Linked DNA regions of Neurospora crassa OR74A. The protein of the gene in region 2 interacts with the protein of the main gene of each other region in a biochemical or structural test. Links are inferred from orthologs where the notes say so. Each region holds a gene or a part of one and is shown on either strand. Other genes may lie near its edges.

Region 1 (5,743 bases), on a different chromosome or scaffold from region 2:
TTTGTACGTCGGCGGTGGTTGTGTCTGGCTGCTGTTTGCTGGTTTAGTTGTTGGTCAAAGTGCTGTAAAATAACCCGGGGCAGCAATGGTCAAGAAAGAGTCGGCATTCTCAAAGATAGCAGGCGGAGCGCCAAAAAGACATGGTTTCCAAAGGCGGGAACCTTTTAGTTGGCTTCCATTACTGTAAATCTCCTTTGCGGTGCTAATCGGGTACTTTTGTTTTTCCCTGCTCCGGGACGTGAAGATCGAAACAGGCAGATGCTTCCTTTGGGCGCGGTATCAGGTCTCAAAAAATACCAGGACGAGTGAGAATAAATTTATCACGGTGCAGGTGTGGCTGTCCGATACAGCACCAAGGAGAGGCCGTGAGCTGATGATTGGCACCAATCAATGGCTTCTGGACTGGTCGACAGAAAACAAAGGGAGGAGGAGGAACGCGGAAATGGGTCATACCCACCGCCTTGGTGGGGCTTAACTTTGGAGCCGAATTAAAGCCCGCCCAGCTGAATGGAAGTCTGCCGAAGCGCACTCAGCAGGGACCGCTCCGCATCAACCGAAGTGCCCACCGGGCCACGCAGGGCACCACTATGTACACTAGAAGGAATGTGCATCCTAGTGTAGTGTAGACAGAGCGGGAACGCATAGAGGTAGGTACCTACCTACCAGGTAGGTAGATTTTTGACCGCTAGAGCGATACCCACCTCAACCGCCTGCACGCCCTGCAGGCTGATACATTCCATGCCGTACTTTTGGAGTACGGCCTCTATCCATCCTGCGGCCCTGAAGAAGAAGCGAAGTCTCAAAGGATGTGCCGATGTCTTATGTTCGTTGTAGTCGAAGGGGAAAAAAAAGAACCATAACGGATCAACTAGGTAGCTGACCATCTGCCTGCCGCTCTTCAGTGTTCATTAGCTCCATTGCGCGCCCAAGTTGAGGGAACATCGAGATACTAGTTTGACACTGCCGTTGGGAATGTCGTCTTTGACGCCCCAAGTATCGTATCGATATATGGTAGAGAAAATACAGAATTAACACATATTCGTGTCACGAAAGTACCGGAACGCCCCAAATACCCAGCTGCCTGCCTGCCTTCCAGCCTGTGATCTGCCTTTTTAATCAAACAAGTAACGACGCGCCAACATGAAAAATAAACCTAAGCCGTCTTCTTCTTCTTCTTGGGGCGCTTCTCTCCCTCGTCATCATCCATATCCTCATCCTCATCATCGACCCGATTGTCGACGTCGCTCTCCTCGCTGCCCGACCCATCACTCTCATGGTTGCTGTCGTATTCCTCCGCCACGTCGCTTTCGGACTCAGCCTGGAAGTCCTCATCCACGCTCTCCTCATCCTCGTCAGCGGAGCCACGATCAGCCTTGGGGCCGACGGCCTCTTCGTCCGAGCTAGCCATGTCGTCATCGCCCAAGGCGGCGGCAATAAGGTTGGTGTCATCATCAATTTCGTTCTTGACACGCAGTCCTTTGAGCTTGAAAAATTCCTCGAGAGCCTTCAAGTCTTCACGGTTAATGTTGCTGAATTGGGATGAGCCCGCGCCGTTTTTCATGTGGACTGTAATGTCGAACGTCGACAATGCCGAGACCGCACCGCCCACGCGTGAAAACGTGATGGACTGTGTCTGTTCGTATGAGATGTACGTGGCCGGCTTGGGGACAAACATAAACGCCTTCTCCAAGCAGTAGAGGAATCCTTCACTGGCTTTGATAGAGCACTTGATGCCGTACTGCTGACGGTGCCTGCGGGTTCCTAGGTCAGTACCGTTGCTGGCTATGAAATGAACAGATATAACTCACGTTGTAAAGTCCTTGGCTGGTGTAGTGACTTTCTTGTTCGCAAGTCCCTTGAAAATGTACGCCACAACCTGATGAAGTGGTTGCTCGTAGTGGCTCTGAAGCTTGTCCTTGTATTTTCCGTTGAGTTCCTCCTCGGTGATGTTCAGGTCAAGAGTCACCTCTTCGTCCGCCTTGAACTGCATCACCACAAATGGATAACGTGTTTGACCTTGACGAAGGGGCGGGTCGAGACCAATGCAAAGCAAGAAATGGAGATCGTCCGGCTTGGGAAGCACCATAAATTTCTTGATAGCATCGTATTGGATCTTGTAGTCGTATGTTTTGCCACGGAGACGGAAGGAGGCATCGTACATGTCGATGTCGAAACGTCCTCTATCGGGAGAGTTAGCACCGGAAAAGGATCAACAACCAGCGTGCAGTTTCCACGTACCTGGGCGTGAGATGTAGCACATCGAGGAATGTAGCGATAGTATCACCCGCCGTCTCACCAATCTCGGCCTTCTCAATAAGGGTGTCGTAGAACAGAGTCACGGCGTTCTTCTCTTCTTCATCGGCGTCGCTACCAGCCTCACCACCCTCGGCCTCCTTTCGTGTTGTCGTTCCAGGGATGTAGAAGCGCACCTCGACCAGCTGATCCTTGCCGGCCGACGCCTTCTTGCCCTTTCCGCCTGTTCCGCTGTGACCGTTCGACTTGCCGCCATCGTTGCCGGCGAACTCGACTGCGATTTCGTTCCTTCCGGCAAGATTTGTATTGGAAATCTCGGAGTAAGGAATCTCAAAGGCCGGTCGGTTTTGGACGTTGAAAGTGAGCTCGGCTTTGCTAAACTCAGCCTTGCCCCAGTTCCATCCTCTCAGAGAGTGTTCCTTGTTCTCGAGGTTCACGCTGTACCAGTTCTTGAAGATCTTGCTAAGGCGCTCGTAATCCTGTGGCAACACGTCAGCGTTCCTTCGCTTCGATGGCGCGTGGATAGGTTTCGTACTTCTTGGTGGAAACCATCGAGCTGAACTACGCCAGAGCTTCGCAATAGGATTTTAACCTCATAGCCCCTCGCCGCCCTGCTCCATTGAGCACCGCCGATGTTGCTCGAGTCGAGAGTGAACGCTTCGCCGCCACCCGCAGGTTTCCATCCCAAGCCATTTTCCGCGAATCTCGACTTTCCGCTCTCCTTGGACAGATCCAAGTAGATATTGTCAAAACTCTCGCTGTAAATGAAGGTATTAGAAATGGCACTGAGCTGTGATCTCCGCCGGTGAAAGCCGTGCCCTACGGCGTAGATGGAGCGGGGCACATCCGTCGTCGCAGGGTTAGACGAGCAAGAGCGCGCGAAAGCATGAAATCCAGAAAGGTATGCGACTTACATGGCAGCCATATTGCCCCTCTATCCAACTGGTTTAATGGTGAGTTGGGGTTGATGGACAAGTTGGAAATGGCGTCTGATGTTGTGGCAGTGATTGCAAAGTGTTGCAAGCAAATACTGATGAACAATCCAACTGAAGGTTCGCGTGCCTCGGAGAAAGTTGACCGTGTCGCGACTAGGCCAGTTCGTTAATTGAAGGTTAATTCGGCTGGCAGGTGGCATTCCGCTGGGCTAGGCGACGACCCATGCTGGTGGCAGGTGGCAAGTCGCAGTACTACTGTACGTGTAGGGTCTACGCAGTGGGCAACAGCTTGGTTGTAGCGCGTGGCAACTGTGAGCTTCTGATTTCTCTCCCAAGCCTGCAAGAACACCACCACTTTATTCAGTTGTCACCTTCCAAGGAAGCTTTGCCAACGACACACAGGCCTTCTTGTCGCTCTGAGAGTCATTCACTGTTTGTATCATCTTGAATGTCTAAAAGAAACTGCGTCCTCTTGTCCTCCAATCTGTCGCGATCTACAGTAACACAACACCTTCCATTCTCTTGTAGTTACGGATCAACAATTATGTTGGGTGGTTTTTTCACATTTGAATTCTTTGTATCTCGCTCCTTCTTGCTTGTATTCGTTCCGCTAGTGCTCGGCCCGTTGAACACGGGAGGGAAAGAGGACGTTCCAAGCGAGTCGCTTCGTTACGTGGGAAAAGTGTCCCCTCGCGACAAGCGTTCCTTGTTTGGTCAGAGCATTTTGAAGCTTTCAACTGGTTCCAAATATGCCACTTGGGTTGCCACTCTCAATCTACTAAACAAACTCAACATAGCTTCGGTTCATGGACATGGGCGCGATTCCCAATATCGTCAACCCCCCAAAAAGCATGTGGGGCTAGCGCGTGGAGCTTTAAGTGGTTGCATATGATATCTTCCGCGCCTGTTTCATGACATGGGATTGTATTAGAGGTACTTAGTCACCTTAAGTGGTAATGTTCTCTGCCTTGTACCACTTCTTGATCTCTTTCTTTTTCTTCCCTTGAACACAAACATAACTCTCAAGTTAGTTCGTTCTTGTTGTGCCCATTGGCTGTTTCACAAGGGCGGAAGACTCGCTCACCGAAGGTGACAATTCCCGTCGTAGACGTTCCTGCCTGCGGCCTTGACCTGGAGACCACGAGGGGCACTTATACGCCACCCCACGATTGACGTATTACATGCTTGAACTGGTGGCATCCCGCACACCCGCTCAAGCTGCCCCGCCTCGACTTCCTTCCGTCACTCGTCTGCCCTGATCGTCATATTTCGCTCGGTTTCTTTATTCAAACAGAACGAAGCTCTCCTTTGTTGCCTGGGCCGTTTGTTTGCCTGCTTCAATTGAACCTTAGCTGGAGCTATTAGTATACCGAACTTCCGACTTGCACACTTACTTGGCCCCCCAAGGATCCCAACGAAGCTTGAATCAATCTTTCCACCATCAATCACTCTTGTTGCCTTGTTGTTTCTACACCTTTTCAAAGATGAGCTTCGAGCGTCCCCTCCGTGGTGGCTGCCAATGCGGCCGCAATCGTTACATCATCCAGTTTCCGCAAACCACTACACAGGCGGCGCAAGTCATCTTCAACCCACCGCCTTCTCAATGTAGGAACCTGTCCAGCGATACTGACTCTCAGGAAATTCCGATCACTATCTCCATTTTGCTAGGAGTATAGATCATCTGACCAAATGTTGCCAATGCAGATATCTCCCATGCCTCACCATTGGCTGCTTTCCTGCGGGTACCTTTGCCATGGTACCATAGCTCGACGCTCTCGTTTTCTCCCGACGAAAGGACGTCGATGATCCATCGCGCCTACACTTCGCCCTTTGAACAGCATTCTATGCGCCACTTTTGCGGTTATTGCGGCACCCCCTTGTCTTACTGGTCCGAGGAACCTCGTAGCGAAGCTGATTTTATCCAGCTATCGTTGGGCAGCCTGCATCCAGAAGATCTAGCGGACCTGGAAGACTTGGGTATGTTGCCGGATTCCGAAAGCGAGAATGAACCTGAAACGAAGAAGCAAGAAGGAAAGGGAGAAGTAACGTATATCGGCCGACAGACTGTGGGAGGCCTACCCTGGCTGGACAGCTTGCTTGAGGGCAGCCGACTCGGTACTCTTCGCGCGGCCAAAGGTCGCAGCCAGAATACGAGTGGTACAGTTCAAGTCGAATGGGAAGTTATGGAATGGACCGAGGGTGAAAGCGGCTCCCCGAGCGGCTCCCCGAGAAACAGCAAGCGGAAGCTTGGTGACCGAGACGACGTAGCCCGGGCGTTACCATGAAGGACATTAGGCAATGAGCCTGCAGTGGGATTCCGTTTCCTGCCATGGTTCATCTAGACGCCCAAGCGCCTCCTCGGACTGTAGAAGGGCATTAGAACGCTTGGGTTGGCGGCAATTCTTTTCGGCGTTTCAGAATCATAAGAGGGTCGTTGAGGGACAGGCATCGTGAAGGCGTTTGGCAGGATTGGAAAGATTGGCAACAGTGGCTTGGATTCGTGTTGTTGGGTCGCATGTTTCCTACTCGGCGATGCACCAAACCCTTGGACCTCC
Region 2 (5,918 bases):
AAAACTATTACAAGAAGGTTGTTGAGTACGAACTGGAGATGCAATTCGGTGGCGACGATATCAGTCCGGAGCAGAAAGAGCAGTGGTACCTGGATAGAGAACGTGAGCAAGAGGCCCTCGAAGACTACACAAAGGTCGAGCGCGTTGTGGCTGTCAGAGACGGTGATGAGGGCACCGAGTATTACATCAAGTGGAAGGGCCTGCAATACGACGAGTGCACCTGGGAAGCCGAGTCTCTCGTGGCCGAACTTGCTCAGGACAAGATTAACCAGTTCCTCGACCGATGCAACCGGTCATGGCAGTCTGACCGCAAGCAAACTAACCCCGATACCCGGTCGAGGATGACCAAACTGGAGAAGCAGCCTGACTATATCAAGGGCGGCGAGCTTCGCGAGTTCCAAATGAAAGGCCTTAACTTCCTTGCTCTCAACTGGGTAAGGGGCAACAACGTCATCTTAGCCGATGAAATGGGTCTGGGAAAGACTGTCCAAAGCGTCTCGTTCCTCAGCTGGTTACGGAATGAACGCGGCCAGGAAGGACCGTTCCTTGTCGTCGCTCCTCTTAGCGTCATCCCCGCTTGGTGCGATACATTTAATCATTGGGCTCCGGATCTCAATTACGTCGTTTACCTGGGCCCGGAGGCAGCTCGGTCCAACATTCGAGATTACGAACTTTTTGTGGATGGTAACCCAAAGAAGACCAAGTTCAATGTCTTAGTCACTTCCTATGACTACATCTTGGCCGATGCGGATCATCTCAAGAACATCAAATGGCAAGTTCTCGCTGTTGACGAGGCCCACCGTCTCAAGAACCGAGAGTCACAGCTCTACATCAAGCTCAACAACTTCGGCGTTCCTTGCAAGGTCCTCATTACCGGCACACCCATTCAGAACAATCTGGCCGAACTCTCAGCCCTCCTCGACTTCCTTAACCCCGGAAAGGTCGTCATTGATGAGGAGCTTGAAGCGTTGTCTACCGCAGATAACAAAGGTCCCACTGATGAAGAACAGGATGAGGCTAGGCGTATCAGGACCCAAGAGAAGCTCCGCGAGTTGCATCAGTCAATCGCTCCTTTCATTTTGCGTCGCACCAAGGAGACGGTCGAGTCGGACCTCCCCCCCAAAACCGAAAAGATCATCCGAGTTGAGTTGTCTGACGTGCAACTTGACTACTACAAGAACATTCTCACACGCAACTATGCTGCCCTCAGCGACGCGAGCAACGGCCACAAGCAATCGTTGCTCAACATCATGATGGAGCTGAAGAAAGTCAGTAACCACCCGTACATGTTCCAGGGTGCCGAGGAGCGTGTCCTCAACGGCAGCACACGCCGTGAAGACCAGATCAAGGGTCTCATTACAAGTAGCGGCAAGATGATGCTTCTTGATCAGCTGCTGGCAAAACTTAGGAAGGACGGACATCGTGTTCTGATCTTCAGTCAGATGGTCAAGATGCTAGACATTTTGGGTGACTATCTCCGTGTTCGCGGATATCAATTCCAGCGACTCGACGGTACCATTCCTGCCGGCCCAAGACGTATGGCGATCAATCATTTTAACGCCGAGGGCAGCGATGATTTCTGCTTCCTTTTGTCTACCCGCGCCGGTGGCCTTGGAATCAATCTTATGACGGCTGATACTGTCATCATCTATGACTCGGACTGGAATCCCCAGGCCGATCTTCAGGCAATGGCTCGAGCTCACCGTATCGGCCAGAAAAGACCTGTTAATGTCTACCGCCTCGTGGCCAAGCAGACTATTGAAGAGGAAGTTGTAAAGCGAGCCCGCAACAAGCTCTTCTTGGAGTATCTTACCATTCAGGCCGGTGTGACAGATGAAGGCAAGGCTCTCAAAGAGCAGTTCAAGGAGCGCGGCCTCAAGATGGACGAGGCTAAGACCGCTGAGGATATCTCGATGATCCTCAAGATGCGTTCCCAGAACCTGTTCGAACAATCTAGCAACCAGCAGAAGCTGGAGCAGCTCGATATCGATGCTATCCTCGAGAATGCCGAAGTTACCAAAACTGATGTCGATGACAAGATCAACCTGAGCAGTGGTGGTATCGACTGGGATAACTGGATGCAGGTCACCGATGTCAAAGTTGACGATCTCGCCCTTGACTGGGATCAGATCATTCCAGCCGAGCAGCTTGCTGCCATCAAGGCTGAGGAAAATAGAAAGAAGGAAGAGGAGTACTTGGCAAAAACGATAGAGGAGAATGCTCCTAGAAAAGCTGCGTTGAAAGGCTCCAAAAAGAGCGCAGAGAACGATCGAGCTGAGCGTCTGGCAAAGAAGCGACAACGCGAGAGGGAAGAGCAGGAAGAGCTCGAAGAGCAACGTGCATTGCTTTCTGATCCCAAACGCCCCCTCAATGAGAAAGAAACCCGAAACCTTATCAGGGCCTTCTTCAGGTACGGTTCCTTGGACGACCGCGAAGAAGAGGTTGTCCAGGATGCCCGCCTTAGTGATAGAGATCGGGACTTTCTGAAGTCTATTATCGAGGACCTTGTCGTTATCAGTCGCCGCGCTGTAGATGCGAACAACGAGAGACTTCGCGAAGAAGAAGCCAGGGCTGGCAAGCCACTGGCGAAGAAGGATAAGAAGGCTGTACTTGTCGATTTTGGCGAGGTGCGGAAAGTCAACGCAGAGACTGTCGTGGAGCGACCCCCTCAGCTCAAACTCCTGCGTCGCGTCCTCCGGGAGCACGCAGACATTCTCAGTTTCAGGCTTCCCGAAGCTTCCAAGGCTGCCGCATATACTTGCGACTGGGGTGCACGCGAGGATGCCATGCTGCTTATTGGAATCGACAGGTACGGATTTGGTGCGTGGACGCAAATCAGGGACGATCCTGAGTTGCAGATGCACGACAAGTTCTTCCTGGAGGAGCATCGTGTCGACAAACGGGAAGAACGAAAGAAGACGGAGGCTGTAGGGATTCAATCCCCTGGTGCTGTTCATTTGGTCCGAAGGTCCGAGTATCTCCTGTCTGTTCTGTTGGCCAAGCACTCTAATGATGCTGCCGCTAAGAAGGCAGTGGAGAACCACCATCGGAGCAAGAAGCTTCTCACGAACAACGGCCATCGACGCGGTGAAGCTAGCTCCATCTCCGGGTCTCCTGCACCATTGGGCGTTAAAAAGTCTATTCCTCACCGGGACCACCACCATCGGACTCTCAGCAACGCGAATGACCGGGGGACCCCCAGGCCTGACCACAAACGGAAGTACACCGATGATTACGAAGAGCGCAGCTCGAAGCATCGTCGGGTGGAAGACGAACGTCGTGGTACAGATAGCAAACTCGACAAGAAGAAGGACAAGGCACCCAAGGTCGATCCCGAAACATTGGAGAAATGGAAGCGGGACAGGCAGAAAGCGGTGGAGCGCTTCCATGAACTTGCCAAGTTGAATAATGATGAGATCGATAGCTCGGACAACTTCCAACTTGTTTGGTCTCTACTTCGGCCCCTCAAAGCGAACATGGAACGCATCATGTACTCTAAGGAACGTTTTCCTGCGGCCAAAGAACGCGCCAAAATTTTGGGAGAGGAGATTCGGGCATTTGGTAATTTCCTTAAGCAGCTGGAGGAGAAGAACCCGCTGGATGGTTTGGAGCCACAGTTCTGGTAAGTCTAGAAACTCCCTCAGATTGTGCTTTCACACTGGCTAACGATGGATACAGGGAATTCCTTTCTTCGATCTGGCCCATCGGTGAGGTCAAGGTGTCGGGCCGAAGACTCCAGCGCATGTTCGGCGACCTTTGCAAAAAGGATAGCGAGAACAAGGAGGACAGATCTCAGAATCTGAAGAAGCCGAGCCGCCAGGATCTCGAAGATGGCGAGATTGCCAGCGATCGCGACGATCGAAGATCTCGTGACCCTTACCGCGACGACCGGCGCGAGGACCGGCGCGAAGAGCGACGAGAGGAGCCCAAGCGGCGCCCGAACTATTACGAGAATGGCGATCGACTCAACTTTTATCGCCATCGTCGGGACATCGATAGGGGAGCACCGATCCGTCACTCATGGCAGAGCAGCCGCAGTCCCTCTCAGCAGCAACGGCCTTACTAGGGGAACCACCCTCTTCTCCCATCAATAATTGTTACTCAGCTCTTGCATTGTCTGGCGTACGGGTTTAGATATCTCGACTGGGGTTGTTGTTCTGATTTTCTGCTCCTCTATCCTCATCTGGGAGTTGACAAGTACACGGGCGGGCGTGGTGTTACATTGGAACGAGCGATACCTGTAATGAGGAATTATTTATGTTACAGAAAGGGCGCGCGCTTTTATGAAGGGTTCAGCATTATCCTATCGCCGATGATGGTTATTTTCGTTGTTGTGTATGGTTTTGCGGAAACCGCGTGCGCCGACGTAAAAGAAAGGCACGCAAGCGTTCTACTCGTCAGGCACTCATCAACATGCCTCAAACAGTCTTGCTTTTCTTACTTTTTTTTCTTTTCTTTTTTCAAGTGATCTCAGCAGCAATAAAACTGAGGGGAATGGATGGATGGTTGGTTCTGAGAGCGTACAAAAAAGGGAAATAACAAAACTATACCGAATTCCTCCTGCAAAAAATTGAGGATCACTTACTTGGGACAGGGGAAGATGGCGGAAAGAGAAGGGACCGTGCGTCGTTGTTGTGTTTTTCCCCCCACTTATCTTCAGTCGCCGAACACGCCCTAAACTTAGAAAGAAAGAGAGAAGAGACAATGAAATGATATCCATAATTGCATCGTCGATCTGTACCTTTCTCATCTGTTTGTTTGTGTTTTGGTGCGTTCAACTTCATCATAGTAGGTGATGATATAATATGAGAGTGTGTGTTGTTGTTCTTTACCTGTCTATCCTCACCTGCGTATCATTCGATGGAGGGTGCATGTTTTAGGGTCGGAGAAAGGGATAATGACAGACAGTTACTAGTGACAACAAATGAGTTGTTTGGCATTCTCGGTATCGATGGTGGCACGTATGAGGCCACGACATACACGGGCACAAGACGGGTTACCGGCGATGCGTTTGCGATCACGATTGTAGACAGAGCACGTTTAGGAGCAGATCCCACAGCATGTAAGCAACGTCCAGGCCATGTTCCATGTTCTTTTATGATTCGTGTCTGAAGAATCTTCACCCCGCTATGCGTTTGTTTGTTCAGTTGACTTCTCCATGACCATTTCACGTTCACCCATCCCAACTCACCCCTAACCTTGTAAACAACCAACTCAACGCACCATCACAGGAGCTGAGCGAATTCAGCTCTAAAACCAAGCGGAGGAAGGGGGGGGGGGGGGGGGGGGAGGTGGGGGGAAGAGAGAAAAAAAAAAAAGGGCTAAGCACACGAACTTGAACGATATAAAGGTATAATACATAAAGTAGAAAAAAAACATACAGCACCTGGGATTCGCTGGTCGTTACTGACCTAACTATTAATTAAGCGATTAGTAGCTTATCTATAGGAGAGCGGACGGGATCCTGAATTTTCTACCATCTATAGCCGTATATACTAATTATTACCCAACTAAGAGCTTATATAGTAAAATCCTTAATAGTAAGCCGGCAGGATCGTACTATCTAATAATTGTATAGTAGTAATAGTAACGAAGGTCGGCGGAAGGAAATAGTTCTTTTTTCTTTAGCGGTATAATTTGGGTATACCCTTTCTAAATATTCGCCCCCTAATAATACTATATTATTCAATTTATTCTATATTTACAATCTATAATAAATTAAAATTAATTTACTGGATTTTAATTAATAATAAATACGCCCTAAAGTAGTTGGATACTAACTTGTAGAAATATAATTAACGTACAATTATATTATAAACGAAACTACATTATAAAAAAAATTCTCCTTTATATATATTTCTACTATTATACAATATTAAAGATATACTTATAATAATATATTATAATTTTACTTGGTA

The links.
Region 1: the proteins of crf6-1 (region 2) and NCU00133 form a complex in vitro, tested with the Saccharomyces cerevisiae proteins (2 studies listed by BioGRID). The link is inferred for Neurospora crassa OR74A from reciprocal best matches to the Saccharomyces cerevisiae genes CHD1 and POB3.

Annotation. Positions count from the first base shown.
Region 1 is NC_026503.1:2,735,256-2,740,998, reverse strand, and holds NCU00133 (FACT complex subunit pob-3), read right to left. Parts: upstream 3,426-5,743; 5' UTR 3,179-3,425; coding exon 3,168-3,178; intron 3,012-3,167; coding exon 2,789-3,011; intron 2,733-2,788; coding exon 2,239-2,732; intron 2,181-2,238; coding exon 1,809-2,180; intron 1,752-1,808; coding exon 1,154-1,751; 3' UTR 890-1,153; downstream 1-889. Other genes in the region: NCU00132 (hypothetical protein), read left to right, coding at 4,673-4,793, 4,893-5,473. UniProt on the Saccharomyces cerevisiae protein: Component of the FACT complex, a general chromatin factor that acts to reorganize nucleosomes. The FACT complex is involved in multiple processes that require DNA as a template such as mRNA elongation, DNA replication and DNA repair.
Region 2 is NC_026501.1:4,376,415-4,382,332, reverse strand, and holds the end of crf6-1 (chromodomain helicase, variant), read left to right. Parts: coding exon 1-3,622; intron 3,623-3,678; coding exon 3,679-4,066; 3' UTR 4,067-4,734; downstream 4,735-5,918. UniProt on the Saccharomyces cerevisiae protein: ATP-dependent chromatin-remodeling factor which functions as substrate recognition component of the transcription regulatory histone acetylation (HAT) complexes SAGA and SLIK. It recognizes H3K4me.